Linked DNA regions of Astyanax mexicanus. The protein of the gene in region 1 interacts with the protein of each later gene in a pairwise test. Links are inferred from orthologs where the notes say so. Each region holds a gene or a part of one and is shown in the gene's direction. Other genes may lie near its edges.

Region 1 (7,462 bases):
TTAGGATTCTTGTACATGGTAAACCTTTATTTAAAGGGGACCTACAGTACAATAGGGGCTTTAATAATAAAGTATTACTAATAAAGTATGTACTTATTCCAGAATTCGCAACATGCTATTAAACTTTGGATGAAATACAGTAAATGGGATTGTACTGATATAACAAGCATGTAGTGTAGCATAATATACTGTATATAAAACTTGGTAAATGTTTTTGATTAGAGGAGAAAACGGTTATTTAAAGCATGAAAGAAAACATTCCATTACAAAATTTGTCTACATATCTGAGTTCTGCATAATAAGGGTGTTATGAATGAAAATGTGTGTGTGTGTGTGTGTGTGTGTGTGTGTGTGTGGGCGGATATTTCTTTAGAAGCTGAGTCAACTCTGAACAAGTGCATGAGAATCTCTGCAGGATGTTTGGGGCTACTGTGTGTTCTCCAAGCTGCTACCATCACCACACTGTGTCTGAAGCACATGTTTGATAAAGAACATTTACAAAACACTATCAATAACCTTACTATAGAGAAAGACCTGTTACAGACCAGTTACACCAGTCTGACCACGGCCCAGCGTCTTTTACAGAGCGAGAACCAGAGGATAGCACAGAAGTTCAATCATTTAGGTAAGCTTAGTTTATTATGTTTCTTTATTTAAAGGTAATAATTCAAGCTTTTTCTTCTGATGACTGTTTGTTCGGACAGTTGTTACACTAAATATATCTATAAATAAACTAAATGCATAATAATAATTTAACCACTGCTCTTCCTCAAGGTTGGAGGTATTTTAACTCCAGCATTTACTACACCTCTACTGAGAAAAAGACCTGGGCTAAGAGCAGACAGCACTGCAGGACGATAGGTGCTGACCTGGTGATCATAAACACAAAGGAGGAACAGGTGAGAGACAGAGAGAGAAAGATTGTACTTTCAATGTTTGGGGTCTTTAGTTCCAGTAAAGTGCTGCAAAATGATTATTGACATAATACTGTAAAGCATGTGAAATCATGCTTGGCAGTAAAGTAAATGTTACTTGCTCTTAAGACCTACACCCCTGTGTCCAGGAAAGCAACCATTATATAAAATATAACTCAGTACCCAACAGGAAATAGCCCTGGCAGGCAAGAATCCACACTAATGGTAAGTTAGGCGTGGGAAGACACGCCCAATATGCAAATTAGGGATGTTTGTAGGCTGTTTCTGGTCTCACAACAAAGCAGTAAATGTCCGTAAAATGTTTTAAATATAAACACCTGTTTTTCCCACAAATGTTACAGTTATATATACAGATGACAGCTGTTTTCATAGGACATCCCAAGATGCATTGCGTTCTACAGTTTTACAGAAGAACATTGTTAAAGAGTTATTTACTGTATGATTTTAGTGTAGAAAATACTGGGTGTAGATAGATAGATAGATAGATAGATAGATAGATAGATAGATAGATAGATAGATAGATAGATAGATAGATAGATAGATAGATAGATAGATAATAAGGGGCACATGCTAGTAATGTATTTTACTACATGTAAACAGATTTTTGTATCAGGATTTTCCAGAGAGGATATGTGGATTGGTCTAACTGATGAAGAAACAGAGGGAGTTTGGAAATGGGTAGACAACACGACACAAACTCTGGGGTGAGAGACTTTTTATTACTTTTATTACTTAAATGAAGAAAAATAAATATTATTGAACTTTTACTCCTATTGGCTGTTAATGTAATGGTTCCTGACCTAGATTTTCAGATACAAATACCTGGAAATAAAGGCTGAAATGGGATTGACCTAAATTTTCCAATACTTTTGGAGAGGAGTGTATTTATAATTTACCATTAACAACAAAGCTCTACCCAGTGACACTGAGATTTTAAGGGTTTCAACATAATTTGCGCTGGCCAAACAGAAAAAAAGCATTTTCAATATTTTAGTCATGTCTAAAACCTCCTGTTATGTTGCAGATCAAATTGGCCAGATTTATAGTTTAATAATATTGCATTTAAACATCTAAAATTAATTTCAGAATATATATTTTTTTAATTACTGTGCATGTAAATGGAAAATTACTAATTTAATGTAATCGCAACATCCTATCAAATGCACACACTTAGGGTCATGTTAATCCTTATTATAACAAACATGATATGATTGCATTTGTGTTTCAAAGGAGAAGTGAACTATTATACGTAAACCGTGTTTAATAATCCAACAGTTTAATTATATATAGGTTTCTAGGAATACTTTTCTACTTTTTGGATGGTTAAACATGCACTGAGTGAAATGAATCCAGAAACGTTTTTGTTGTTTCACTCAGTTCAACAAGATTTAAATCATAAAAACAGCTCTTATAAAGGCCCACATCATGGAATACTCAAATCATTTGGAATACTCTTTTTTTTTGCTTTTATGTATTTAAATGAAAAAAAAGTTTTGTAAGGTAAACACTGCTTCAAAATGTACATAATCAATATGCATACATTGTTGTTTTTTTTTTCCCCCCCAATACAGCTACATGTTTCTTTGGGTAAAATAAAAGTAACAGGTAGCAATGGAGCAGTGATGGGCTGGCAATGATGTTGTAGAGGGTTACACTGCTGCCCTCTGGATGCCAGATTTGAGTAGGACTGAGAATCACTAAGAGATGTTGTGTTTTATGTGATTTTGGGTGAAATCAGTAATTAAACATGAACCCTACTCCTGTGCTGTTTCAGGTACTGGATGGAAGATCAGCCCAACAACTTTAATGGAAACCAAAACTGTGCTTCCATACAAACGACTGGGATAAATCCGTTAAGAACCTGGAATGATTACCAGTGCTCTTATGAGAAGCACTGGGTGTGTGAAAGATAGATTACACACCCTTTAAAATAAATTATTCTCATTTCTTTAAGTGGAAAATGCACTTTTTTTTTTACTTTAGCTTATGTAAACTGAACATGTTCTAATTTGTATATATTTTATATTAAGTTGTAGTCTTCGTAGGCAGGATTTTTGATTTAATTAGTCCTATTTATATTAATTTATTTTTTATTTTATAAATAAATGCTAATTTAATAATTTTATATTAGTTGTGAGTAGATTGTGTTTTTATTTTCTCTTTCAGTCCCTGTCTTTAATATCTTTAAATGTTTGGCTGCAATGAAAATGAGGGTCACTCTCATTGTACCTCTGAGAAAAAAATATTAGTGATTTATTGATAGATTGATTGAAAATTAGTAAACTAGGAGAGGAGCAGCAGGGGAAGTGGCACTGCACATAAAATACAATAAGCCACACAACTAAAGTTTAGAATAAATAATTAACACTGGCCCTTTGTGTATAAGAATGGAGTCCAGGGGTAACACTGTATATACAATTGCTTAAATCATCACAATGTGTAAAGGCATTGATGGCCTGTGGAGCGACATCTGTTAGTTAGTGTTAAACTGTTAAGGCCCCTGAAAGCCCGAGGGAAAAGCTGTGTTTGGGTGGGTAGTAAATGCAGAGTTTAACAGACTGCATGTACTGCATGAGTTTTTCAGGTCTTGTCTAAAACTCATAGTCATGAAAACAGGCAGCTGTCAACACACAGGAAGGCCAGAGCAGAGAACAGACACATCCATAATCCAGACCTATAAAAGAAGAGAAAAGGGTAAAAAAAAAGGTTAAACCAGCCATACAAACACAGTTTAGGCTCCTGTGGGAGCAGCACTAGTCTGTAGTAACCAATTAGGGCCAGCAGAGGGAGACATTGTTACAGTTAGTGAATGAAGACGTATCTATGTTTCTTAAGTTTATTTATTTGATGTCTTGAATAATTTTGACAATGTAGAACATCATAAAAAGAAATAGTTTAATTTAAATACATTTAGACGTTTGATTGGTACTCTACATGGTTTGTCTAATGAACTAAAATCCAAAAATGCAGATTTTATTTGCTATAGAGACAGTTCACAGTGGATTGATATTGAATCATACTTTGCTCAACACACCATATTTTCTGTTCTCTATTGTTCTTATTATGCGTTCTACCTATCCATTCACTTCTATTAAAATCTAATCAATTTATGTATGTATTTTATGTGTCTGTCTATCTATCTGTTCAATTCAATTCTATTTATGTATTTACTGTATATTTTATATTTCATATATTTATTTATTTATTCTGACAGAACCGAATGCTACTGATACAGTGATCTTTTTCCGTGCTCAAATGACCATCCATCCATCCATCCATCCATCCATTTTTCTGTTTTCCTATATCGCCAAGTATATCGTTATCGCAAATATTGTGATATTATTTTAGAGCCATATCGCCCACCCCTACCATCCATCCATCTATCCATCCATGTTGTATAGAAGGTATACCAAAACATGAATGAGCACGGACTTTCAGGAATGAATGGGTTTCTGCTGAGGGGGTGGGAGGACTCTTATTTTGACAGGTTTCTCTGTTCGCTGTGTGTATTGTGCTCGCGGGTTGCTGCGGTGTAAAGATGGCTGTGCGGATCAGACCCGCTGTGAGCTGCGCTCCGCTCGCGCTTTCTGCGTCCCGCTGACGTCCCGGCGCGCGCGGAGTCCGGTAACGGGTTTAACGGCCGAGGCTCACGGTCGCTGCGGGTTTTCCCCGGTACTGTCGGGCTGCTGAATTCCCGTGGGCTGTTTCTCGGAGCGTTGCTCGCCCTGCGCGCTGGTTAGCAGGCTGGCTAACCCCACAGGTGTAAATATTAGCTGGCTAAGCTAAGCTAAGCTAGTTAGTACCTAGCCCGCTGGCTGGCGGCTGTTCCCCCGGAGCTCGCCGGCCGCGCGGCCCGCTGTCATGGCCACCATGGAGAAGCTGATGAAGGCCTTCGAATCGCTGAAGTCGTTCCAGCAGCAGCAGGGCCCGCTGTCAGCCGAGGAGCTCGTCCAGAAACAGTAAGTCTGAGGGGAGGGGACGATAACGTAGCTACAGCGTTAGCTGGCTAGCCGTGTCTCCACCAGTCTAAACCAGTCATTTAGCTAGGTTAGCTAATTAGCTTAGCTAGCGTTATGTGTTGACATATTTAGCCAGTTAGCTTAGCTAAGCTATGTTGCTAGCTGTCAAGCTGGTAGCCAAAGACGTCAGCTGACCTGCTTAGCTACCTTACTAACTAGCTAACGGTCAAGATTTGCTTATACCAAATAATACAGTGTTAGGAAACGTTAGTTAATTTTATTAAATAGTAGGTTAGCTATTTGGCTATCTGTCTTTAGGAAAGCATTTTCAGTGCATACAATCTAATGACCCTGACTCATTTATCTGCAATAGCTAGCTGATAAACACCTTAATGGCTAGTGATGCACTGGCTAATAAATCAGTGCTTCTTAGCTTGTCTTAGCTTGTCTTGTGCCCAGTAAAAGCATTAGGTTAGCTGTGTTATGTTTTTCCTTTACATCAGCTTAATTATTGCCTATTAGATATATTATTAGATATATACTGAAGCAGATATCAGGTGTGCTAGAGCTGGAAGTGATGCAGGTATTCATCTGTATATTCTTGTTTATATAGCTACATAGCTGTATATCGTTGCTAAAAATAAAAATCAAGCATCTCCGTTTTTGACAGTTTAATTTTTAGTTAATTTGAACAAATAAACATTTTCACACTTTGTCAAAGTTTTATTGCTCAATGCACCAATAGAAATTCCCCAAGATAACCTAATATAAATTATTTTTACCTTGACTTCAATTTAAAGTTAAGAAGGTTTTATCTTTCTCCTGTTAAGCTGGGAAAGGTGCAATGATTAGTCTGTATATTCTTATGTATATGGTAATACACTGAACACTTACACAAAGAAATAACGTAGTTATACGTTACACAAACAAACGTAATTATATTATATTGGGATGTTATGTGATAGACAAACACAAGTAGCAATTAAGTGTGAACTGAAAAGAAAATGGTGCATGGTTTTTAAAACCTCTATCTGTAAAATGGAGCTGAAATCATGTGTGCTAGGTCAGGAAAATGTACAATCTGAACATTCTTGCGAATTGTGTGTATATGTGTGTGTGTATATATATATATATATATATATATATATATATATATATATATGTATATGTATATATATATATATTTGTATATATATATATATATATATATATATATATATATATATATATATATGTATAATGTGCCTTTGTCCTGTATTTTTATATTTTGTATATATTGTATTCTTACTACCAAGAGGGATTATGCACCCAAGTTTTTCAATCATCTACCTACCTTAAATCTGTAGTCAGAGAGTTCTTACTGTTTAAAAGACTAGAGTAATAAAAATAATTACCCTTTTTAACTTTAAAGTAGTTTACACAGAAACTTGTTATGCATGCCTCTGAAGAGCCTGTCTTGGCTGTATTGCTGGAAGAGTATAAAGAACAAATGATCCTCAGAATGATTCCTCAGAAATGAGCTGAACTCTTTTGTTGTACATTTGTAGTGCAGTTTATTTCTTATTTGTTTTTAGATTAAGGAACAGTCAGAAATATAATAAAAATAAAAATTCTCATTTTGACCATGTTTTTTCAGTTGTTTATTTGTTAATTGCTAAAACATGTTACTTCTTTGTAGGAAAAAAGATCTAGCCACGACCAAAAAGGACAGAGTGACTCATTGTTTGACGATATGCGAGAACATCGTAGCACAATCTCTGAGGTATGCAGTACTTGTTGTTTGATCTTGTGAGTAACACATTTATAAAGCAATTCAGATTAAGGATTAACAGATTATTATTATTAATATTTATATTATTATTATTATTTTTTAATTATTATTATTATTATTATTATTTTTATTTATTATTTTTTTTTTTTACATTTTATTAGTCATTAAAAACAGATTATTAAAAGTATCAACTAAAGACATAAAACTGATTTATTCAGGGACTCAGATTAACACAGGGCTCAAAACACCACCACTCACTAGGAATGTGGAATAAAAGACCTTTGGAAAAATGTTATCTGGATTTACTTATTTCGTTTTTTTCTCAAGGAGAACAAATGTGTAGCACAATGTGATGGTTGTAGTTAAGGTTTTTAGGATGCCTCACATTTTAAGCATTTTTTTTTTGAATAATGAAAATATTCTCAGAAAATAACACTCTAATGTACACCAAATATACTGAAGAAATAATAATGTGCTGTTTGTTTGTAGGCCTCTCACAATAATCAATTTTTGGATGATATAAATAAATGGTTTAATTGTATGGTTTTATGGTGCTGCTTTTCACCCCTTGAAGGCTGTGAAAGATCCACCAAATAACTTGTACAAATGTTCTCTGTCATAGCAATTGAGAAAAACAGTCTACTTCAGCTGCAGAAGAATGTCTTGCAGTGCTGTTACTGTGTCTTAATATGTCATCCTCTCGCTGACTAAAGAAGCTTGCTGCTATGATGACAGTTAATTAAAGTGATCTTTCTGTAGTGTCCAGACCATGACTATATTAGTTTGACTGACTTGAT
Region 2 (7,518 bases), on another chromosome or scaffold:
TACAGGTTTGTGAGAGCCAGAAATCTTGTTTGTTTGTAGGTGACCAAATACTTATTTTCCACTATTATTTGCAAATAAATTATTTAAAAATCAGACAATGTGATTTTCTTATAGTTTTTCATTATGTCTCTCATAGTTTATCTATGATGTCAATTACAGGCCTCAGGAGAACTTGAACAATTGGTGACTGACTAATTATTTTCCTCACTGAAGTATGTAAATTTACTGTAAAATACTAATATGGGAGGACAACGGGGAAGAGAGGTAAGAGGGGCCACACAGGGAGAATTGACAGGTATGTATGAAGCCCGTAAAGCGTCAACATTTTATAGAACAACTAATCATTTAAACAGCGACATGTGCAAGAATGTCAAAATAATATGGCACAAGGATTTAAGTTACTCTACTGACGATGCATTGGAGGGAATTCTGTAGGCAGGGACATTAGAGAGGTTTAAGGAAAATGTATTCAGTACAAATATTTGCATAGGTAAAACCAATCCAGACTTTTTAGAATGGGTGTTGTTGATAATGATTTATCTTGGAAATGCCATTTTCTCATATGATATGGGAATGCCCAGTAATATACTTCTTCTGGAGTAGTATCCTCAAAGTAACAGGAGAATGCCTGGGACTACTGTATCAACCTCGCTACTGCCTCCTTGGAGATCGAACAGAAATCCCCAGGGTAAAAAAAAAAAACATGTCTAAAGTTGGACACAGATAATATTGCCTAATTGGAGGAGTAAAAATGTCCCTGAACTGAAATAAAGAACTAAACGGCATCTTATGAGGTCATGGGGAGACTTAATAGAGAGAAGAAAGTGAAAAGCTTATGGACCTGCACTCGACTTGACCTGCGTAGGCTTCGACCTTGTATTATTATATTGGCTATGCTGTTTCTGTGTATGTAAAAGTGTGCTGAGCATTGTGTCTGTACCTGTAATGTATGTTTAGTAAAAACAAAAATCTGAATAACAAAAAACAACTTAACAGTAGCTAACTAAACACACTAACATTTCTGTATTTACTGTGTGTGATTCATTTATATTATGTGAAATATACATACTGGCACCAAGACAATAGAAGAGATCCTTAATGTAGAACCTCCATGAGCATCAATGAGTCTTGGGCACCAATGATAACCCGGTCACTGGTTCACTGTCTCTCCTTCCACCAGTCTGACGCTCTTTCTTACTGGTTGTTCACGTAAAAGCCATTCTGCAGTATTTCTTCATACACTCTGATGAACATGGATGCGAGTTTAATCCTGGGTAGAACGTGCCTGCTGGTGAACTCATCTCTGCTCAGAGAGTCTTTACCGTCCACCGATCGCATGTGATTTATGAAGCTAAGAGCAAAACCATAACAACAGGACCCAAACTCCCTCTCTTCATGGAACCTGTAAAACAAAAACACTGGATTAATATTTTGTATTGACATTTATGACTGATCATAAACAGAGTTATATAGTTATAGTTATAGAGTTATATAGTGTTAATGAAATCAGTCTTGGATCTGATCAAACCAGGGAAGTGCACAATGAAAGAGAACTACAGTGATTAATATTAGCATTAACGATCATTATTAGTTAATGCATTAACTACTTTAAATATTTCTATTACCACAATTAACGATTATATTAGTTAACCTGAAAACATTAGGCCTATGTGGCTGTATAATGACTATCCTTAATTTGTAAGCATTCTGAAAAGAGGAGGATGGGTCTGTGAGCCTTGGTTCCTCCCAGTGTTTCTTTCTCTTCAGCACTGTAAAGATTTCTTTAATGTTACTTTGCACCAATATAAGTTGTAAAAAGTGCTATATAAATAAATCTTTATTGATTTGATTTGACTAGATGTTGGTATGCTGCTGTATACTGGGCATATCAGTGTTCCAGGGTACTGATGTAGGATGATTAGTTCCACGACTCTAACTCGTCCCAGCAGCACTGGATGACACTTCATCATTTCAGAGAACACAGTTCTTCCACTGCTCCACAGCTCAATGTTAGAGGGCTTTACATTTTTCTAACCCATGTTTGGCATTGGGCGTGAACACTCCAGAGCATGCTGTTCTATTGACCAGTGTTCTTCTTTTGAGATTATATAACAGGTAACTAGTAAATTTACTAATTTGGACAAGTTGTTTTACGAAATGCAATTAAAGGATAGTTCATATTAATGTTATTAATTGTTAGTTTAGAATTGTGTACCTCTCTGCAGCCCAGGTTGGAAGTGATGAAAACAGCTGTAATTCCTTATCCCAGGAATCTACAAGAGAATCTCTCCAAGGTGGAATCAGCTGTATGCAGACACACTGTTCCCATCCCTGCTCGTCTATCTGGACCCCTGATAATGTGTAGTTATAGACCAAGCCTTGAGACAACACAAAGGTAAAAATCTTAATGCTCGTCATCTACATAACATAGCCTATACAAATACACAAGTTGGTTAACCAGCTATTGGTCAGAGTATTTTGCATTAGATTTTAGTCATGCTGGTCAATCTAGGTCATTGGTTGGTTGATATGCTTGTAATTACTTGTCATACTGGTCAACCAGCACAGTCATGCTAGCCACACTGGTCGACCAGCTTTGTCATTATGGTCAACCAATGGGGTGTTGCTGGTCATGCTGTTTGACCATCTTTGTCTTTTTGGTCGACTAGCTTGGTTTGGCTGGTCATACCGGTATTCAAAAAAATAATAGCATTTGGCTGTTTTTAGGCTGGGGTTTAAAGGGTTCATTATACATTCTCACCCAAAACTGACAGACTATCACCTTAAATGTAACTCACCTGCTGAGTTTGAGATGCCGACGTGTAGCTCTGAATCATTCCACTCTCTGTAAGAGTAAAGAACAGTGTAAAACCTTTATTAAACTCAGTTAATCTCAGTCTGACTCAATTCGACTCAGTTAGACTTAATTAGACTCAATTAGACTTAATTAATCTCAGTTAAATTCAGTTAGACTCAATTAGACTCAGTTATCTCAGTTAAATTTAGTTAGACTCGGATAGACTTAGTTAGACTCAGTTAAACTCAGATGATTCAGTTAGACTCGGATAGACTCAGTTAGACTCAGATAGACTCAGTTAGACTCAGATAGACTCAGTTAGATTCAGTTAAACTCGGATAGACTCAGTTAGACTCAGATAGACTCAGTTAGATTCAGTTAAACTCGGATAGACTCAGTTAGACTCGAATAGACTCAGTTAGATTCAGTTAAACTCGGATGATTCAGTTAGACTCGGATAGATTAAGTTAGACTCACCCCAGAGACCGCGGCCCCTCTCTCGCTCCTATCAGAAACGCGCACGGGGCTCTGTGGCCGCTGCTGAACGGACCGGGCAGCGCGACAGGCGCGTCCAGCAGTCCCAGTACCGGCGGCTGCTGACAGACTGGGCACAGACCAGTTCCAGTACCGGCCTGTGGATCTGCGAAGGTGTAGATATCTCTCCCGCAGTGGCGGAACTTCACCACGGCCCGCTCCATTACAGCTTCACCACATCCCGTTTAATCTAACCCACCTGCTCGCTGCTCTCCTGCGCTACGATTGGCTGCATTCGGCTGGAGTTCTGGTCAGTCTGAACTACTGGCCAATCAGACATCAGCGGGGGCGGGGTTCATATTTTACGACGGGAAGAAAGACGCGTTTATTTGCCTTTAATATGATGATCCATCTCTTTATGATAATATAAGATTTATTATTTATCTCTTCTAAAAAACAACACGTTCCCGCAATAAAAAACATCTAGATTGTGAATAATGTACATATTATAAACTAGTTTTATTTTATCAAATATGTTAACTGTGTAGATTTTATGTATAGGTTTCTGACACTTGATTTATATTTTACGTACAATGTATTGAAAGGTAAAACGTAATTTGCTCAACCTGTAAGATATGTAAATTAAATCGGTAAACAATAGGCCATATTTTATATATTTTTATGTCATCTATTATCTACCTCTGTTATAAAAACCATAGAACTTCTAATCTCATTATTTTGTGTAAACTGTTGAAAATAAATCAACAATATCTTAATTATTTGTCAAATGTGTTATTGTGATATACTGAGTGATAATCTATTTAATTTGTCAAAAAAGATGACAACACGATATACAGCTCAATATATACAGACAATGATAACGTATGTAGTGATTCCATGTTACATTATTTTATGAATATATTTCTTGCTACAAATCAACCGGTTATATTGTAAAGTATGTTTCTGTATGGTGTTTCAAAATCGCCCCCTTTTGACTTTGGGCACCTGCCCCTCCAAATGTCGAAGTGTTGAACCAAAATATGTTTTATGCTTTAGATTCTTTAAAGTAGCAACTTTTTGCTTAGATCTCAATTTTGCCCACTTGTTATTATTCTCTCAGTCGGCTGTAAGTGCTAGAACCTGGAAAGGTTCTCCAGCTGCCTGTAAGGAGCTGTAGAGGTGCTGTGCTGTTCAGGGTAAATCTCTGCACTGGGCGGAACTAATAAACCCGGGTCGCTGGTGTTCGGGGAAAGAGTTGGAGCTGCGCGTGCAGGAGAGGCGGGGGACCGGGCCGGGGTTATTAACTGCGTGGATTTCGGGGAATATGTCTACAAAGCAGGTGACCTGCAGGTAACTCACCTGGACGGGGGGTTCGGGAGCGCGAGGCGGAGGAGGGCAGGTGGGCCGGGCGGGTCTACGGGGGGCGGAGGTGCCGCTGTAGCCTCTCAGTGCGCGGTTAGCAGCTAAGCGGCTAACGGCGGTCTGCGGGTTTACTGATCAGTGCAGCTGTTTCTGTTAACAGCGCTAACTATATTACTACTATATAACTAATATATAACCTATATTACCCGCAGTAAACACAGCGCTACTGACCCTGCTCCCCCATCATTATACTCAGATACTGGGGATCAGCCCGCTGTGTGTGAGAGCCAGGATTACTAGCTGTCTGTCTGTCTGTCTGTCTGGGGTAAATATCTGAGATCTGTGTGTTGGACTCTGACATTTTCCTGAACTGAAACTGTTATACTGCGTTCGAATTATTAATAATTTCTGTATAAATACCTGTTTTTGTGTTTATGTTGTAATATTTATCTCATAATTTTAACACTTAAAGCTTCAGTATCTTTTTTTACCATGTTTTCAGCTTGTTTTAAATCAGTTATATAGAATTGTAAGCACCACAAAATCTGGAATGCTCGGCCTCACATTTTGTAGTCAAAAACTTATTATAATGACCCTCACCCAGCTTACGTATACTTATGTAATGCGAGGCACATGCTTAAAAAAAAACTGAAAGTAAGTACAGTTAATGGCAAAACAAACTGCTTTTAAGAATACCGCGTTGTCACGATTTGGAGTTCGTGTGTATATATTACAAAATCGAACAAAATGCATATATATATATATATATATATATATATATATATATATATATATATATATATATATATATATATATATATATATATTTGACTTGTACTGTCTATTATATATTTCTAGTTAGTATAAATGTTCACATATATCTCATGATTGTAAAATAAAAAATACAAATGGATAAATATTGTAAAAGTTTTTTCTATGTATTTCTGATATTTCCTTTCTTCTTTTCTCAGGTATTTCATTCATGGTGTTTGTCGAGAGGGGAACAGATGCATGTTCTCACATGATCTGGCAAACAGCAAACCCTCAACGATATGTAAATTTTTCCAAAAAGGTGTCTGTGCCTATGGCGAGCGATGCAGGTAATGTTTTTTTTTTTTTTTTAACTTATGTCTTGCATATGCGCTTAATGTATGCTGCCAGTCAAGAATTTGTGTTAAGAAATTATTCTGACTGATATTAATGTACTTTTAAATATAAGCCTAACCTAAAGCCACTAAATATTTGACCAACTAGGACACGTGAGATATTCTGCAATTTCAGTAACTCATTATTCAACTAAAACAAGTAGTTTTTGTATTTGATCATGATTTTAATTTCTGCTGAACAATTTGTTGACTAATTTATTTTAAGTAATTTCAGCAGCTGCAATTTTTTAATCATTGTGTAATTTATATAGTAAATAATATATTTGGTCTTGCTTAAAAAAAAAAGCACAAAGTTACAATTTGAAAGCTTCAAAATTTGAATAAACACTGAACATTTTAGAATCCCAGCAGAGACACCAACAAACCACAGGAAGACTTATTGTTTGGTTATTGTTCTATATAAATTATTTTTAGAATTTCACCTGAATATCAAAAGTGCTTTCGGTTGATTTGGTTGACGATTATCCACCACTTCTATAACTGGATTATCGAGAAGGCTTGACGTGTTGGAGTAGTTACTCTAGTTAGCCGGACTGAATTTCCTGGATCCTTTTAATCAATTACTCAACTACTCTAAAATCATACATTAGCATAATGCATAATTTTGTCTATGTTTCAGATATGACCACATCAAACCGGGGGGGCGGGGAGGAGGGCCGCCTCTGGAGCACACAAACAGACCCAGTAGTGCTGGAGTGTCTGTCCCAGGACCAGGGCCTCCACCCAGTACAGGCAGAAACACTAAGAAACCAGTAGTGTTGAGAGACAGAGGTATGGCTGAAAAGTATTGGAAGTGTGTGTTACATCCTCATAAAGCTACAGAAAACGTTACATAAACTGAGGCAATGTTCTAGCAGTGGAAGGGATGTGTTAAGAAGGGTGACATGATGTAGAAAATCTCATATTGCAGTTTTTACCGTTGCAGCGAGTCGTCACATCATCCTTTTACATCCTTTTATCTTCTGCCTGCAGCTCTGGCCAGTGACACTAGAGGTCAGCCTTACAGTGGAGAAAGTGCAGAGGTTCGGGATTGCTGGGACTACAGAGAAGGTTCCCAGGCCAAACCTCACACCTACCTTGATGCCATTCGTACAGGGCTGGAGAGTTCAGCCACAGCCAGCCCGTACCCGGACGTGCCCCACCAGCCACAGCTCTGCCCGTATGCTGCCGCTGGCCAGTGTCAGTATGGCAGCACGTGCCCGTATCTTCATGGAGACATGTGTGAGATCTGCAGGTTGCAAGTTCTGCATCCGCACGACCAGGAGCAGAGGGCAGCACACGAGAAGGTGGATGAATATACCACATATATTTTCCACATAAATATAAATTTACCAGCGTTAACTAATGAGCTCATTTCATAGTTGTTGTGTAGATTATTACAGACTTGTGACGTAATATTATAGTTTATGGCATCAGTATGCTTCTGCTACCATCTGCCAGGCCATATATATTCATTAAAAAAACAGGGTTCCTCCATTAAGCTGCCGGCGCTCAGAGGGAGCAAAATTAGCCCTGCTCCCTCCGGGTGGGTAGATGGCGCTCTCTCCCCACATCACTCCTAGGGTGACGTCAGTTATCTTTGTTTCGTGTCGTACTCGAGGGATTGGCAACACTACACATTAGTCACCGACCAATCATCGTCCGTGTCCTCGTGTGAGTTCGTAGGCCATCGCGGGGGAAAATATACACATATATACACATATATATATACACATATAT
Region 3 (6,866 bases), on another chromosome or scaffold:
AGGTCTGCAATCAAAATGTGGTAAAACAACCATTGCCTGTGTTTCTTTTAATTTTGTGGTGCTTTGTAAAATTATTGTTATTGTTCTTAATATGATTATTGTATTTTATTTGTTTCTACTCCTGTACCTACTGGAAACCGCGGGCCGAGGCCGCCGTTTCTCTTTGTATACCAATGTGAAGCTTTGTATTATTTCTTTCTGGTTTTTTGACTCAGTGGAAGTGTGTGATGTTTACATGTACAGAGGATCCGATTCTTTTGTCGTTTTTTATTTCGTCGTTGTTTTTTTCTTTCTCTTTTTTTTTTTGTGTTCGTTTAAGAACTCACCCCTCCGCTCAGCCCCCACAGCCTTTGTTTTAGGACTTGAGTTGCTTCTTGAATCTAGTGCATGGAGGGGCTATGTTAGAAGGTTATAGAGACTTGGTTAAACTACTGTTTAAGGTCCTTGCACAATTTACAAAAAAAAGAAAAACAAAACAAACAAAAAAAAAAACGAGTATCTGTGACGGTTGTTGCTCCACAGTGGTTCGTGTTAGTATCCCAGGGCATATCTGTTAATGAGAACACTCTCATTGAGCATTTCTTGACAGTTGTTTATACTTTTCTTCTGTTTCTTATTCACGTTCTCACCGGGACTCCAAGTCTTGAAATCGATTCATTGTAGTGCTACTGTAACGGAAGCCTGTTTTCCTTTACAGGTTCGCTTTACCTCTCTCGTAAACACTGTTAGATTTTTTTATTTATCTTTTTTTAATTGTTTGCACCTCAGAAGTGCATTACTTCCTCAGCGTTAGGTCTGGAGTGAATTGGGGCTGGGGTCCATGTGCAAGGGCCTTTAGAGGCAGGGTGCAGTAGTCACTGCTGGTGGGTAAAAGAAAATAAAAGTGCTGGATGATGAAGAAAAAAAAAAAACGGCGAGAGAGCAACAGAGAGCTTCTTATCAGCTCAAAGTGCAACACCAATCCTCCTCCCTTAAATACGACACGGAGCAAACGGAGGGCCTGCTTGTTAACGGCTTTCAAATGATGTTTTCTGACCTTTCGCAAAGACTTGAAATGTTGTTTTGTAAATAAGGCCAATGAAACGGCCTCCTCTCAGCGGCCCACGCGACTAAAGATTTTCCAATGTGGTTATGGTCTCTAATGTTCGATTTTGCACTTTGACCTTTTGTAGAAGCTTCTCAGTGATTTTAAAAAGCCATTCCCCTCATGTTGTTCGTCTATATGGGGAACATAGGAACCTCAGGAACCGTTGAATCTGAGTTTTGTTTTGTTTTTTTTGTTCTGTTGTTTTTAACTACAGGCCAATATGTCCTGACCGACCAGTCCTCGCTCTCTCTCTCTCTCTCTACTACCACGTCATTTATATCGGATTTGCTATATATCCTTTTTTTATATTTATTATTGTGATTTAAAAGTGAATCTTCTTTTCAGTACACGTGGCTGAATATTTGAATTCTTTAGAAAGTGTTGATAAATATAAATATATATATGAATATATGTGAAGCGACTAAAAGATGGAAAAAATGGCAGGTAATTCCATTTCTGTTTGTTTCATGCAAAAAAAAAAGAAGACAAAAAAAAAAAACGCGGGGAGGGAGGAGGGGGAGTTTCCCACCTTGAACATATCACTCTGATAAGAGACTCATTATCGTCTGAGAAAAAAAAAGACTCTTTTTACATTTTCAGTGTGGTGTCAACGCTACGGTCTGAAAAACTGTCTGGTTTTCCACCTGCTGCAGAGTTGCTAGGCTCTTTCCTCCAGAGGTGTGTGTGTCACGGAGTTGCTGAATAAAAACAGTGAGCTGAAAAATCTCATTCTGTGGTGGGTTTCTGTCTTTTGAACACACACACACATACATGCATCATTTGAGTTGTACAAATACATAATAAATACAGAAAATATTAGAAAGACATCCATATTCATCATTTGTGTTGGACACTGATGGAGTCTGGTCTCTGCCACTGAGCACACACATACACACTAGTGAGCACAAGTGCCTGGAGCAGTGGGTCATCATCCCTGGGGGTCTTAGGCTTAAGGGCCCAACTGTGACTGCTTGTCAAACCTGGTTACTGAGCCCAAAACCCTGTCATCAATAACCTGGTGCTCTAACCACTGATGCAACACTGCCTGCTTCACCTTCACCATGTTTCTTACAGCTTGTACAGGTAGCTAGTCCATTGAAGCCCATACACACGGTGGCCACTTTATTAGAAACACTACATCCACTCTGCTAGTGTACAGTTAAAGCTTTACATGAACACATGCACATTTATTCTGTAAATAAAAATGTTAAATAAAACCAGAATATGTTTAATACTATAGATTTTTAAGCACCACATTTAGCTTTGAGGACAGATCTGTACACTCTTGGTAAACTGCCTGTCCAAAAAAAAATATCGCCATAAAAAAAAAGCTCACACACCCTAATATTTCTTGAACCGCCTTTAGCTTTGATTACAGCATGCACACTGTGGCTTTCTTTTGATAAGCTTCTGCAATGTCACTAGATTTATTTCAATCCAGTGTTGTTATTAATTACGTACATAAATGAATAGCCCACCTTCGCTTTCCTACAGCTTTTTACAGCAAATTCAGTAATTTTGTGCTTTTTGCCAAGCACTCTTTACGACGGACGCTTTGGGGCATATTTTTCCCTGATAAATCGCTTTTTTACACCATTATCAAGGCTCAAAGTAGCTACACACGCCTCATTGGTAGATTCTGGAGAGCTCTGACATTTAAAACAAGGTATTATTAACTTTAAAAATGCACAAGAAGTTTATTAAAAGCCACTGTTTACATCCCATATCACTTCTTGAAGCTCTGGGCACCGCCATCATTGTACTGATAATGACAGACATATATACATAGACTCCGCATAGCCTGCCTCTTGGTGTAGCAGCCGGCGCCCAGTGCATTTACTTACACTGAGAAAGGTGTTTAATACACCTATAATAACCACAACTCCTCCTATATATATATATATATATATATATATATATATATATATATATAATATATATATGTAATTAAATGCACTGGGCGCTGGCTGCTACACCAGGAGGCAGGCTATGCAGAGTCTATGTATATACATGTCTGTCATTATCAGTACAGTGATAGTGGCACACAAAGCTGAAAGTTAGCATTATGGGATGTAAACAGTGGTTTTTAATAAGCTTCTTTTGAACTTTTTAAGTTATTAATGCCTCTTTTTAAATGTCAGGGCTCTCTGGATTCTACCTAAAAGTTGAGGAGCTACTTTGAGCCTGGATAAAGATGTAAAAAGCAATTTATCAAGGCAAAATATACCCTGATACGGTCGTTGTAAAGAGTGCTGGGCTATTCAACAAAGGTAAGGTCTTTTTATCATGTTTTTACTAGACCAAAAGTCCATTTTACACCTGAGTTCTCTTTTTTACGGTCTGGACTCTGTGGTGAACAATCCATGTGTGAAGATGATGATCTCATTCTACCTGAACCACTCTTTCACAATTCTGCCTGTTTAGATTGACAGCCTTTCTTTTAAGTTTGTTAAAAGTATATATATATATATATATATATATATATATATATCAATGTTTTGTAGATGTTTTTTATAAATGTAGGCATTTCAATGATTTACCTACATAATTCATTTTCTTGAAAGTTATGAAAACCTCAAACCACAACAATTCTGGTAATGATCCAATAGCAACTGTTTTATGGAAAGTTTTTTTTTTTCTTTTTTAAGCTCCTCCCATAAATACACCTGCCCAACCTGAGACATCCGCCCCAACACTCACACACACCTTACTCACTCACTCACACACACTCTGAGGAGATGTAGACACACACTTCTCAGTCTCTTCACCTCCACCCAGATGAAGGGTCCTGAGGGGGAGGCTCGCTGCCCCTGCCCGAGTCTCCAGAGCCTCCAGACTCTGCTCTCCAGCCTCTTCACACAGGCAGAGAAGAAGAAGGAGGAGGAGGAGGAGGAGGGAGAGGCAGCAGAGCAGAGAGATGGAGACTCCAACTTCGAGAACCCAGAGATCGGCACCTACAACTACACCCAGCCGCCGACACAGCCGCCCACAGCCCAGCCAGCGGACCCGCCAGCTGCCCGGGCTCTGTATAAGGCGCTGTGGAGTTTCCAGGGCCGCGCCGTGGACGAGCTCTCCTTCCAGACTGGAGACTCGTTTAGGATGCTGCAGCAGGAGGGAGAGTGGTGTCGGGTGGAGAAGATCAGCCCGCAGGGACTCATACAGGCTGAGGGCTTCGTGCCCTCCAACTACCTGGCAAAAGAGCAGACCCTGGAGGAACAACCGTGAGTGTTTTCACATACAGTCCCTCCTAAAGTACAGGAACTGCAAAAAAAAAAATCCTTTATTTTTGTTGTGCACTGAACACACTTAGAAAAAAAGTACAGATTTGTACTTAAAAGAGTACAAAACTGGGGCTGTACCTTTATTGAATTATATTTAAGTATTTTTTGTACCCATGTTTTTTGTAAGAGAGATTATAAACATCATCAATATGTATTGTTTTTAGTATAGAGATACTGAACACAGGATGTACATTTTGGCTGGTAAAATGGTACAAATCTGTACTTCCTGCTGTTAAACACTAAGAAAAGTAAGTACAGATTTGTACTTAAAGAGTATATAGCTTGTCTCTTGGGCTGTACCTTATATTGAGGTATAATAGAGTAGTTTTCAGTAAAATTATTTTTTTTATACCCATGTTTTTTTGTACCAGTAAAGATTATAAACATCATCATCACCTGAATATGTGTCAAGAACTTGATGATCCAAAATTGTCTGGATTTCAAATGAAACATGTATAATCACAATATATGTTGTTTATTAGTACAGTGATACGGAATGCAGAATGTACATTTTGACTGGTTAAATGGTACAAATCTGTATTACCTGCTGTAAGGAAATACTTTGTACTTCTGAAGGAACACATCAGACACTGTAAAGATTGGAATATTATTATACAGAATATTATACCTTTGAGGGTACAATTACGAAAAGTGTACATTAAGTACAGAAAAGTACTTGTATCGTACCTCTGTTTAGATGGGTTTTGTTGGGTTGTGATGTCATTCCTATATCTAATGTTTGAGGTAAATGAAGCACAGCATGAGGCTCTTCTGACTTGTGAGAAATGTGGCTTGTAGGGGCATTCCAGTTAAAATGTCCTATTTGGAACTCAGAAATCCTAACATCCAGGTTCAGATGGGACACAGAATAATACTTACAATATCTAAGATCTGTTCAGGTCCCTAGTGTGATCCAGAAGGATTTAACATCTGCACTCCCTTTTAACTACGGTAATTCACTAGTCAAAGAAAATTAAATTACCTGGTGAGGAAGAATGTCATCTCCTGTTTTTTTTCAGATGGTATTTTGGGTCACTGAATCGCCTGGAGACCCAGAAACTGCTTTTGGCCGCAGGTAACAAGGTCGGTGCATTTCTGCTGCGACGCAGTGAAAGGGATGAGGTGGGCTGTGTGCTGTCAGGTAAGTGAATTGTTCAGAAGTACAGTGCAGTACATTGTGACTTGTCTATGTGAAGTGAAAGAAGGTCATTGTATATTTCTCATTTAGAGGTGTTATAAAATTACAATCCCCCCTTTTCCAGTTCCCAGTCTAAAATTGTGTAAATACAATCTCTATCTTGTTCCCATGACAGGTAGGGATCCACTAAAATTAAAATTTTCTGAAACAGAATTTTTCTTTTTTTCAGAATTTATTTTTCCACTTTTTTCACCATTGCGTAGTTAAATAGGGTGTAAAAAATATGTGTAAGGTGTAAAAATAAAAATATTATATTGACTAATAAAAAAAAAGGACAGTTTGATCACTAATCACTAGTGTTTGAACACTAATAAATGTTGACTCCTTTTCTCCTTTCTCTTTCCAAACCACCATATTGCGGATGGCATAGTTTAAACTAGCAAACTGGTATAATACAAAATAGACTCCCTCTGCACTAGGGCTGTATACAATATGTAGAACAGTACAGGGCTTAAAATTCAATATATTGTGATTAATTGTGACACTGTAGGTGATGTATCGTGATTATTTTAATATAAAAAAAAATAACTGTGAGTTCCACACTGCTATCTAGTGGGCAGGGTTTAATTACAACACTAAATGAACGACTGTCTGACACCAATGTTTACATGTAAATAATTGTAAAAAATATATAGATACTGGGGATACACCGATGTGGGAATTCTAAGCCTTTATATATCTGTTGACGTTGATGCCGATATGCATATTTATAACAGAGAAGAAGCTAGATACCCTGGTAACTTTGAAACTAATAAAAATAAACAAAAATGAGCTTAAATCAATATATTTTAAAGTAACATGGCCAGTTGTAGTAGCACAGAAAGCATTGTTTGGTCCTTTTCCAGCATACAATAAATACATCAGCAAATATCAGTTTGAAATGTTGGCCATATCATCCGATTCCAATGGTTAAAAAAAAAGAAAAAGGGAATTATCGATCCATACTGATGTAATTCCCATATTATTATGCATCTCTAATCGATACTGTGTTTTTTTTAATGCAAATTCAGGATAATAGGATCTCTCATGTATAATAATCTAATCTAATATCCCACTTTCTCTCTCTCTCTCTCTCTCTCTCTCTCTCTCTCTCTGTCTGTTAGTTCGACTAAGCGATAAGGAGGTGAAGCACTTTAAAGTTTATGAGGATGAGGAGGGTTTCTATGTGGACCCTGATTCCACTTTCCCCGGACTGGAGCAGTTAGTGGAGCATTATAAAAGCCATCCTCTGAGCTCCGGCACCCTCCTCGGAGAGCCCTGCACACGGGTGAGTGTGTACTGTATGTGAGCTACGTGAGTT
Region 4 (7,340 bases), on another chromosome or scaffold:
AATAATAATAATAATAATAATAATAATAATAATAATAATAATAATAATAATAATAATAGTATGCTAAATTGCAGTATTTGTTGTACACAAAACAACGGTGTGCAAACATTTGTGGACCCTTTATTCCATTGAGCTGTGGAGTAGAACTGTATTCTCTGGAATGGTATTGCTGCATACAACACTTCTAGGTTGATTTGGGGATGAGGTGGGAATGAGGTGGGGCATGAACATCCAACGTCCTGACGTTACTTACGCTTTTGTAACTGAATAAAATTAGATCCTCAAAGCAATCCTCCACAAATGTAGAGTCTTCTCTAGACAGTAGAGACCGTTACTCAAACAAAGGCAGGATGAACTCGGATCATAAACAGCAACCTAGCTGTTAGGTGATTGTCATGTTGTTTAAGGTGACTGAGTGAGAGAGTATAGTAAAGGGGAAGGGAATGGGCCATAACTCCAGTTATGTGCTGGATCATCTTCCTCTATTTTATGTTTCTAGTGTCTGGATCTGTATACTTTGGTCAAGTTTTTTCTTCTTTTTTTTTCTTCTTTTTTTTTTTTTTTTGCATATATGGGGTTTATAATGCTCGCTGGTCTTCTGTGGAACTTCAACTCAGAAGGGTTCCATCCCTAATCTCATATGAATAAAGTTCCCCTGATTTATATAATACCAGCTTGAGCAACTTGACCAAGCTTTATTTTGGTGTATCTTTACTGAAGTACTGGGAGAACTTTTACTTTAACTCCACTACATTTCCTAAATGGTCTCTGCTTTATTCTGATAGCATGTTTTGGGCTCTAGGCTGAGTCCTGAATGTATTTTACTCTAGACTCATTGTAGGGGTCTGTGGGGGAGTTTGGCAGTGTCATTTTTTGGCAGTGTCGCACTGTCAAAATCCTACTTCCCCTAGTAAGCCCCTTATGTTGAGTAAAATACATTTCAGGACTAGTGCCCAAGACATGCTATCAGAATAAAGGAGAGCCCCTCAGACCTTTGGGTGCTGAAATCAGAGGGTAGTCAAGTTTAACATTTTCTCTCTGATGAAGGTAAACAAAACATAAAATATGTGGATTTCCATTCATATTCAGTAAATGAAAAAGACTTAGAACATGTAAAGTCGGACCATTTTAAATGCCATCATATTAGCTAAAAGCTCCATAAAAATTTAAACATTGTTGGGTGTTTTAATTGTATATTGTGGTTTAACATCTTTTATATTCGTAATTGCACCCTAATTACTTTGCCATTAATAGTTATACGGAAGGCTTTGTAACCATGCTCTAAAGTAATTGGTTTATTTTGTATTTGAAAAGGGGTTTTCGAAATGTATTATTCTATTTTTGGCAAACTGTACATTTGTACATATGTTTATAGACTATGTTAATATACTGTGCAAGTGCATACTAACTGTGGCATGGGATACCTCTAACTGCATAGATCCACTGGGAAATCAAATGAAGTACAAATTCTTATGTATTCAAGGTATATGTTGTAAGTGATATTACTGTATCATTTTGAAGTAATGGGATACCAAATAAAAAAAAGTCTATTCAGTTTCCATAAAACAGATTTTGCAGTCCTATAAAACCGAATAGACTTTTTGTTTAGTTTGGTACCCATTTACTCCAAAATGATACATTAATATAATTTGATACTTACATTATTGAAACATGGAATGTATTCTGCAAGGATTACATGGTGTTATTGGATAACTATTCATTTGTGTTGTGGAAAAATATGTTGCATCAAAACCCTATAGTCAATTTTGAATAAACATTGACACTCCTGCACCTTTTCAGGAAATGTACGACTTCTCCCAAAAATTACTAAAACATCACCCTCAACAATACAATAGCTGTACATTCACTCTACGATTTACAAAACAATGACTAAAATGGATCACTTCCAGCAACCAAGAAAGAGTTTTACACTTTCACAGTGGTGCGCAGTATATGCTACCTATGATGTCATTATAGCAGTGAAGAAAAAAATCCAAGGGAGCAAGGCTGGGTTTCCCAAGAGGTTCTGAACACTAAGACAATTCATAGATGGTTCAGCAAGCTTCACACTGGGCACTCTCTCTCTGTTAAGATGTTCTTAATCCTAAGGTGCTATTAGTGACATAACGTGGAGACAGAGTGGTTTGCAAAATTATTCATACCCCCTTTTGTCACTTCGCAACCACAAACTTAAATATATTTGATTGAGATTTTAAGTGACAAACCAACACAAAGTAGCACATAATTGTGAAGTTGAAAGAAAATGATACATGGTTTTCAAATTTTCAATCAAATAAAAATCTAAATGTGACCTTCAAAAATATTCATCCCCCTTTACTCTGAACCCCCTAAATAAAATCCAGTGCAATCAATTGTCCTCAGAAGTCACTTAATTAGTTAATAGAGTCCAGCTGTGTGTAATTTAGTCTCTGTAATCACTAGAATTCCTTTTGTATATCATATTTTTTTACTTACTTTCTATTTCTCCCTAAATTCTCTCAAACTGTTGCTTTGTTTTAAAAAGCTTGTTTTATCACCAATACTGTATTATTATTATTGTTGTTGTTATTGTTAGACAAAGGGAAATACCTACATTAATCTATATCTATAATAATAAATACTACAATTTAAATATTGAGCAGGCCAGGTAGGTTTGAAAAAAGAAAAAAGTTGAATCGTTTTGACATAATATAATTGCATCACCCCCCAACTGCGCCTGCCTGCTCTCGCTGATCAGCACTAATTTCTATCCATAGTATATAAGTCAGAACTCTGTAATTTACTGAAATTATTAAAATCTACAAAGGTTTACATTTTTTTCGTTTCTACTAAATGTTTTAAACTGTTATACTATATAAAACTATAGTATTTATTGTGTTTCAAAAGTTTATTTATTTAAATTCTTTAAAATATTTAATTTATTGTCACCAAGAATATCATTATCACAAAAATACCCTGCAGCTAAATGACCTACCAATTTATCATTAAAAAAACTAAATATACATAAAAAAGACCTAAATTATGCCAATTTTGAGAGAGAAAAAAGAATGAATACAACAACACACCTAAAAGGAAAAAATAATAACAAAAGCAGGATTTGTATCAGTCTTTATTTATGTAGACATAATGCTTGGGTGTATGTTTAATTCCAATTAGTTTGGGTGAAATGTAGAAAAATGTAATGATGATCAGACATAATTACGTTTGATTTTTATTAATAACAGTTTGCAAAAAAATAACAATAACAAACAACAACATATTCCAGAGTAGAAATAGTATATTTCATGGTAAAGGTCTGGGTCCTGTTTCCCTCTTAGCATTAAGAACATTTAAACATGGAGAGAGAGCTCAGTGTGAAGCTCGCTCAACCATCTCAGACTTGTCTTAGTGCTACGAAACATTTGGGAAACTGGTCCTAGACTATTTTGTAACCCGAAAAAACAGGCTGGATGGCTCCCTCCTCAGTAATTGAACGATAGGTGGCAGTATGCAACTAATCAGCGATAAGAAAAAAACGCAGAAAAAGACAATTGAGCTTCATGAGATGAGCTTTCAGCTCAGGAGTTTACACAGTTCCACTTTTCACTGTGGATATCAGCGGCGTCCATTCTGAAAAAAGAAATAATATTCCAGTTAAATGGTGAGTCTTTTTCCGAGCACTCAAATAGGCAGTCGCCAGTTGCTGAAAATGCTAGTCGTTTAGGCAAGATCCCATATGTTCCGCGTTTTACCGTGTCCCTATATATATGTAGATTTTTCTCAAACCCTGAATGTCTATCTAGCTAATTCTAAAGTTAAGCTAACTGAGTCACAAGCTGGATTTTATTAAACACACAGTGGGTTTAATTTATGTTTTGATTCAGAGAAGAGTCTTTTTAACCAGCTATCAGAAACAATCTCATCACAGTTTACATGGTTAATTACCTTTCTTTTAGAAAAATCTCCGTATATCCAGATTAGCTTTAACGACAGCTGCTCCGACTAGCTGCCTGAACTCACAGCGAGGGGAGGGGCGGGGCTTCCTCCACACTAAACAGCTCTCCGCAAAACCAGCAAGCGGATTGGCTGTTTCTCCAGAAAGGCGGGACTTTCTCCTTGAACCGGCACTCGATTGGTTAAGAGACACACAGCGGTCAGTGCATTGTCGCCTGTGGCCTATATATTTTTTTATTTAGTATAATACGGGAAATTTACGGGAAAATACTAATACGGGAGGACGGCGGGAAAGAGGAGTAAAATACGGTAGTTTCCCGGCCAAAACGGGAGACTTGACAGGTATGTAAAACAGCACTGCTGCGGCGGCCTTTGTTTTCATTTCTGAAATGTGATAACCTTATTTGGGATGAGGCCTCGGTGTTACACTGATCTGTTCCCGGGTGGTGTTGACTGAGCGTTTGTAGGTTTGGGACGAGGCCTCGGTGTTACACTGATCTGTTTCCGGGTGGTAATAAGGGAGCGCTGCTGTGGTTCCGGGCGGCAGTAGGAGGAAACATGGCGGCGGAGGGAGATGTGGATCTGGATCTGGAGGCGGAGGAGAACTGCACCGGGAAGCCCACAGAGAAACCCCGCAAACACGACAGCGGCGCGGCGGATCTGGAGCGGGTGACGGACTATGCGGAGGAGAAGGAGATTTCCAGCTCGGACCTGGAGACGGTGAGTCCGGCCCGGTCCCGGTCCACGTGCTGCCCGAGCGCGCGGGTTTATTAATATAATAATCAGAATTACTGTAGATTAATCTGAGGGAGGAATAATCCGGATTAATCCGCTGCTGTTTCTCAGTTTCTGAGAATACAGGTTCACTCAGTTACTCACATTAACCCCCGGTGTTCCGCCCAGTTCTGATACCAATCCATATGGGGTTCCATGCACCAGTGCGCATGCGCGGATCCACATTGTATTATGTTTTCATGGATTTTTATGGCAATTCTGTTTTATTTAGGCGCATTAAACACATGAAGCCCTCTAAATATAAAAAGTATTATTACTGTATAGTCTGTGTGTAATTGGCAGTAAATTAGAAAAGTAATAATAAGACAATAAAAATACAGAAACGAGCTGTAATCACCTCTATTACCTTAAACTGAACCCTGATCTACTGATTCAGGATTAATAAATATCCTACAGAATCTCCTGCAGCAGCTTTTCCTTATATTCTGCTTATTTCTGTATTTTATATTTAAATAATCTACTATAGAGCAGCAGGATTTCACAGGGGAGCAGAAATCAGCAAAACACCCGGTCCCGAACCGGTAATCCAGCCCGGGATTATCCTTTATATTAATTTACATGGTTAAATTAGGAGTGTAAATTACCTATTTATTACCTGGGTTATTTATTAGTTAATGAGCTAGCGTTGGTAATTGTGTTAATTAGTGAGTAGTTAATGGGGTTGATTGGGGGTAATTAGTCAATAGTTAATTAGGTTAATTGGGTTAATTAGTGAGTAATTAATGAGGTTAATTAGTGAGTAGTTAATTGTTTTTTAATGGTTCTGTTTTCTCTGAAGGCGATGTCCGTGATCGGAGACAGGAGATCCAGAGAACAGAAGGCGAAACAGGAACGGTGAGAACTCAGTACATTTATTATTATTATCACTTTGTTTATTAATATTTTAAATATAGTTTAATAAATAAACTGAATTGTTTGCTTCTGTTTCCTGCAGAGAAAAAGAATTGGCTAAAGTGACGATTAAGAAGGAGGATGTGGAGCTGATAGTAAGTATGAAGTTTTTACTCCAGCAGCTTTTAATCAGGTTAAATCAGACTCTGGTTTGTTTTAAGAACGAGTGAAAAAGAATTAGAGTCTGATTTTACCAGAATAAATAATCAATTAGAGTAAATCACACAAACTGCTCCCAGTCAAACTCTTATTCTTATCTATAAAGATCTTGTTCTGAAGTGTTTTTGTTTTGCAGTTCAGACACTTGAAATGTTTAAATCCAGACCGAAAAACGTTTCTGTTCAACAGCTTTCAGTTCAGTTTAATCACACTACTATTATTATTATTATTATTATATTATTACTCGTTTATTTACCTGTATCTCCAGCATGTATTCTGAGTGACGTCCTGTGTATCTCAGACTGAGAGTGGTCCACATTGGAGTTTAGATCCAAAAACTCCAGACTCTACTCGACTAACCCTAACCGACCAATAAACCGCCATCAGGAGCCCAAAATGCCCGATTTCTGCCCCCAAATAATTCCATTACCCCGCGTCCACAGAGCGGCGAGGTGTAGTTTATAATGTAACTGTGATTATAACAGTCTAACTTCTGCTGATTTTCACCATCACAGTGTGCTCTGTTACTGTGCTGTATTCTGATCATCACACTGTAGCTTTATATAAATAATAAACAGCATTATACATTTTTATAACAGACCGTTCTCTTCAGCCCGACCCGACAGAGTTCTGTTCACATGTTCTGATTATTTTCAGTGATTTACTGTGATCTATTACAGTCAGTGCTGGGAGTTTGAACCAGTGTTGAGCGTGGTTAATTTCATTTATATTTTATGAATTTTAATTGTTTTTATAAGTTTATATAAACCTCTGTGTATTAAAGGTTCTGATGATCTGTGTTACAGATGGGGGAGATGGAGATCTCGCGAGGTGTGGCGGAGCGAAGTCTGAGAGAACACATGGGGAACGTGGTGGAGGCGCTGATCACCCTGACCAACTGAACATCACACACACACACACACACACACACACACACACACACACACACACACACACACACAATCACATCCCCCCCCCCCCCTTCCCCTCTGTATTGTGATTTTAATAAACTGTAATAAAATATTTCAGCTGTTTATTTAAGCAGTTCCTTTTTTAAATGAAGTTTGTGTTGTTAAAGAGTTAGGATAAGATGGAAATATGAATTTGTCACAGTAGTTTATTAAGAATAGCGATGCTGTACGATTTTTACACATTTCTGCTCAGAAGAAAAAAGTTCTATAAAGAAAATGAATCAAATGTACAAAACTAAAATAATAAACCTCCATTTTCTTCCCACTGGAACTGCAGTTCAGCACAAACAAATAAACCAGGGGGATTTAGGGGGAGAGAGGAGTAAAAACAGTTCTGCAGATTAATCTGAGATAACTGGTTTAAAGATGATCAGAGAGACTTCAGGTCTTCCTCTTCTGCACGGTGGGACGCTCGAACACGTCCCGCACTCCTCCGGCTCTCTGTTTGAAGAACTTGCTGTTCTGAGCGCTCTCCTGAGCCCAGGCCGAGTCGAACGACGTCGTGTCCTGATCCACCAGGTGTGTGTATTTAGTGCGTCCGGATCGACCGAAATTCTTCACCTGAATAAAATAAAAATGAGCAGATTACAC

What was found.
Region 2: the proteins of htt (region 1) and mkrn2 interact in binary tests that used the Homo sapiens proteins (3 or more experiments, as listed by UniProt). The link is inferred for Astyanax mexicanus from reciprocal best matches to the Homo sapiens genes HTT and MKRN2.
Region 3: the proteins of htt (region 1) and ptk6a interact in binary tests that used the Homo sapiens proteins (3 or more experiments, as listed by UniProt). The link is inferred for Astyanax mexicanus from reciprocal best matches to the Homo sapiens genes HTT and PTK6.
Region 4: the proteins of htt (region 1) and hypk interact in binary tests that used the Homo sapiens proteins (3 or more experiments, as listed by UniProt). The link is inferred for Astyanax mexicanus from reciprocal best matches to the Homo sapiens genes HTT and HYPK.

The regions. Positions count from the first base shown.
Region 1 is NC_064414.1:46,260,991-46,268,452, forward strand, and holds the start of htt (huntingtin), read left to right. Parts: upstream 1-4,446; 5' UTR 4,447-4,796; coding exon 4,797-4,894; intron 4,895-6,572; coding exon 6,573-6,656; intron 6,657-7,462. Other genes in the region: C-type lectin domain family 4 member E, read left to right, coding at 374-625, 775-899, 1,536-1,639, 2,710-2,848.
Region 2 is NC_064431.1:12,838,535-12,846,052, reverse strand, and holds the start of mkrn2 (E3 ubiquitin-protein ligase makorin-2), read left to right. Parts: upstream 1-4,513; 5' UTR 4,514-4,595; coding exon 4,596-4,621; intron 4,622-5,604; coding exon 5,605-5,733; intron 5,734-6,418; coding exon 6,419-6,570; intron 6,571-6,771; coding exon 6,772-7,085; intron 7,086-7,518. Other genes in the region: mkrn2os.1 (MKRN2 opposite strand, tandem duplicate 1), read right to left, coding at 1,195-1,402, 2,216-2,378, 2,799-2,845, 3,275-3,495. UniProt on the Homo sapiens protein: E3 ubiquitin ligase catalyzing the covalent attachment of ubiquitin moieties onto substrate proteins.
Region 3 is NC_064419.1:39,952,841-39,959,706, reverse strand, and holds the start of ptk6a (protein-tyrosine kinase 6), read left to right. Parts: upstream 1-3,848; 5' UTR 3,849-3,865; coding exon 3,866-4,308; intron 4,309-5,387; coding exon 5,388-5,509; intron 5,510-6,669; coding exon 6,670-6,833; intron 6,834-6,866. UniProt on the Homo sapiens protein: Non-receptor tyrosine-protein kinase implicated in the regulation of a variety of signaling pathways that control the differentiation and maintenance of normal epithelia, as well as tumor growth.
Region 4 is NC_064430.1:121,714-129,053, forward strand, and holds hypk (huntingtin-interacting protein K), read left to right. Parts: upstream 1-4,418; 5' UTR 4,419-4,491; coding exon 4,492-4,653; intron 4,654-5,506; coding exon 5,507-5,562; intron 5,563-5,662; coding exon 5,663-5,714; intron 5,715-6,584; coding exon 6,585-6,680; 3' UTR 6,681-6,814; downstream 6,815-7,340. Other genes in the region: mfap1 (microfibrillar-associated protein 1), read right to left, coding at 7,131-7,310. UniProt on the Homo sapiens protein: Component of several N-terminal acetyltransferase complexes. Inhibits the N-terminal acetylation activity of the N-terminal acetyltransferase NAA10-NAA15 complex (also called the NatA complex).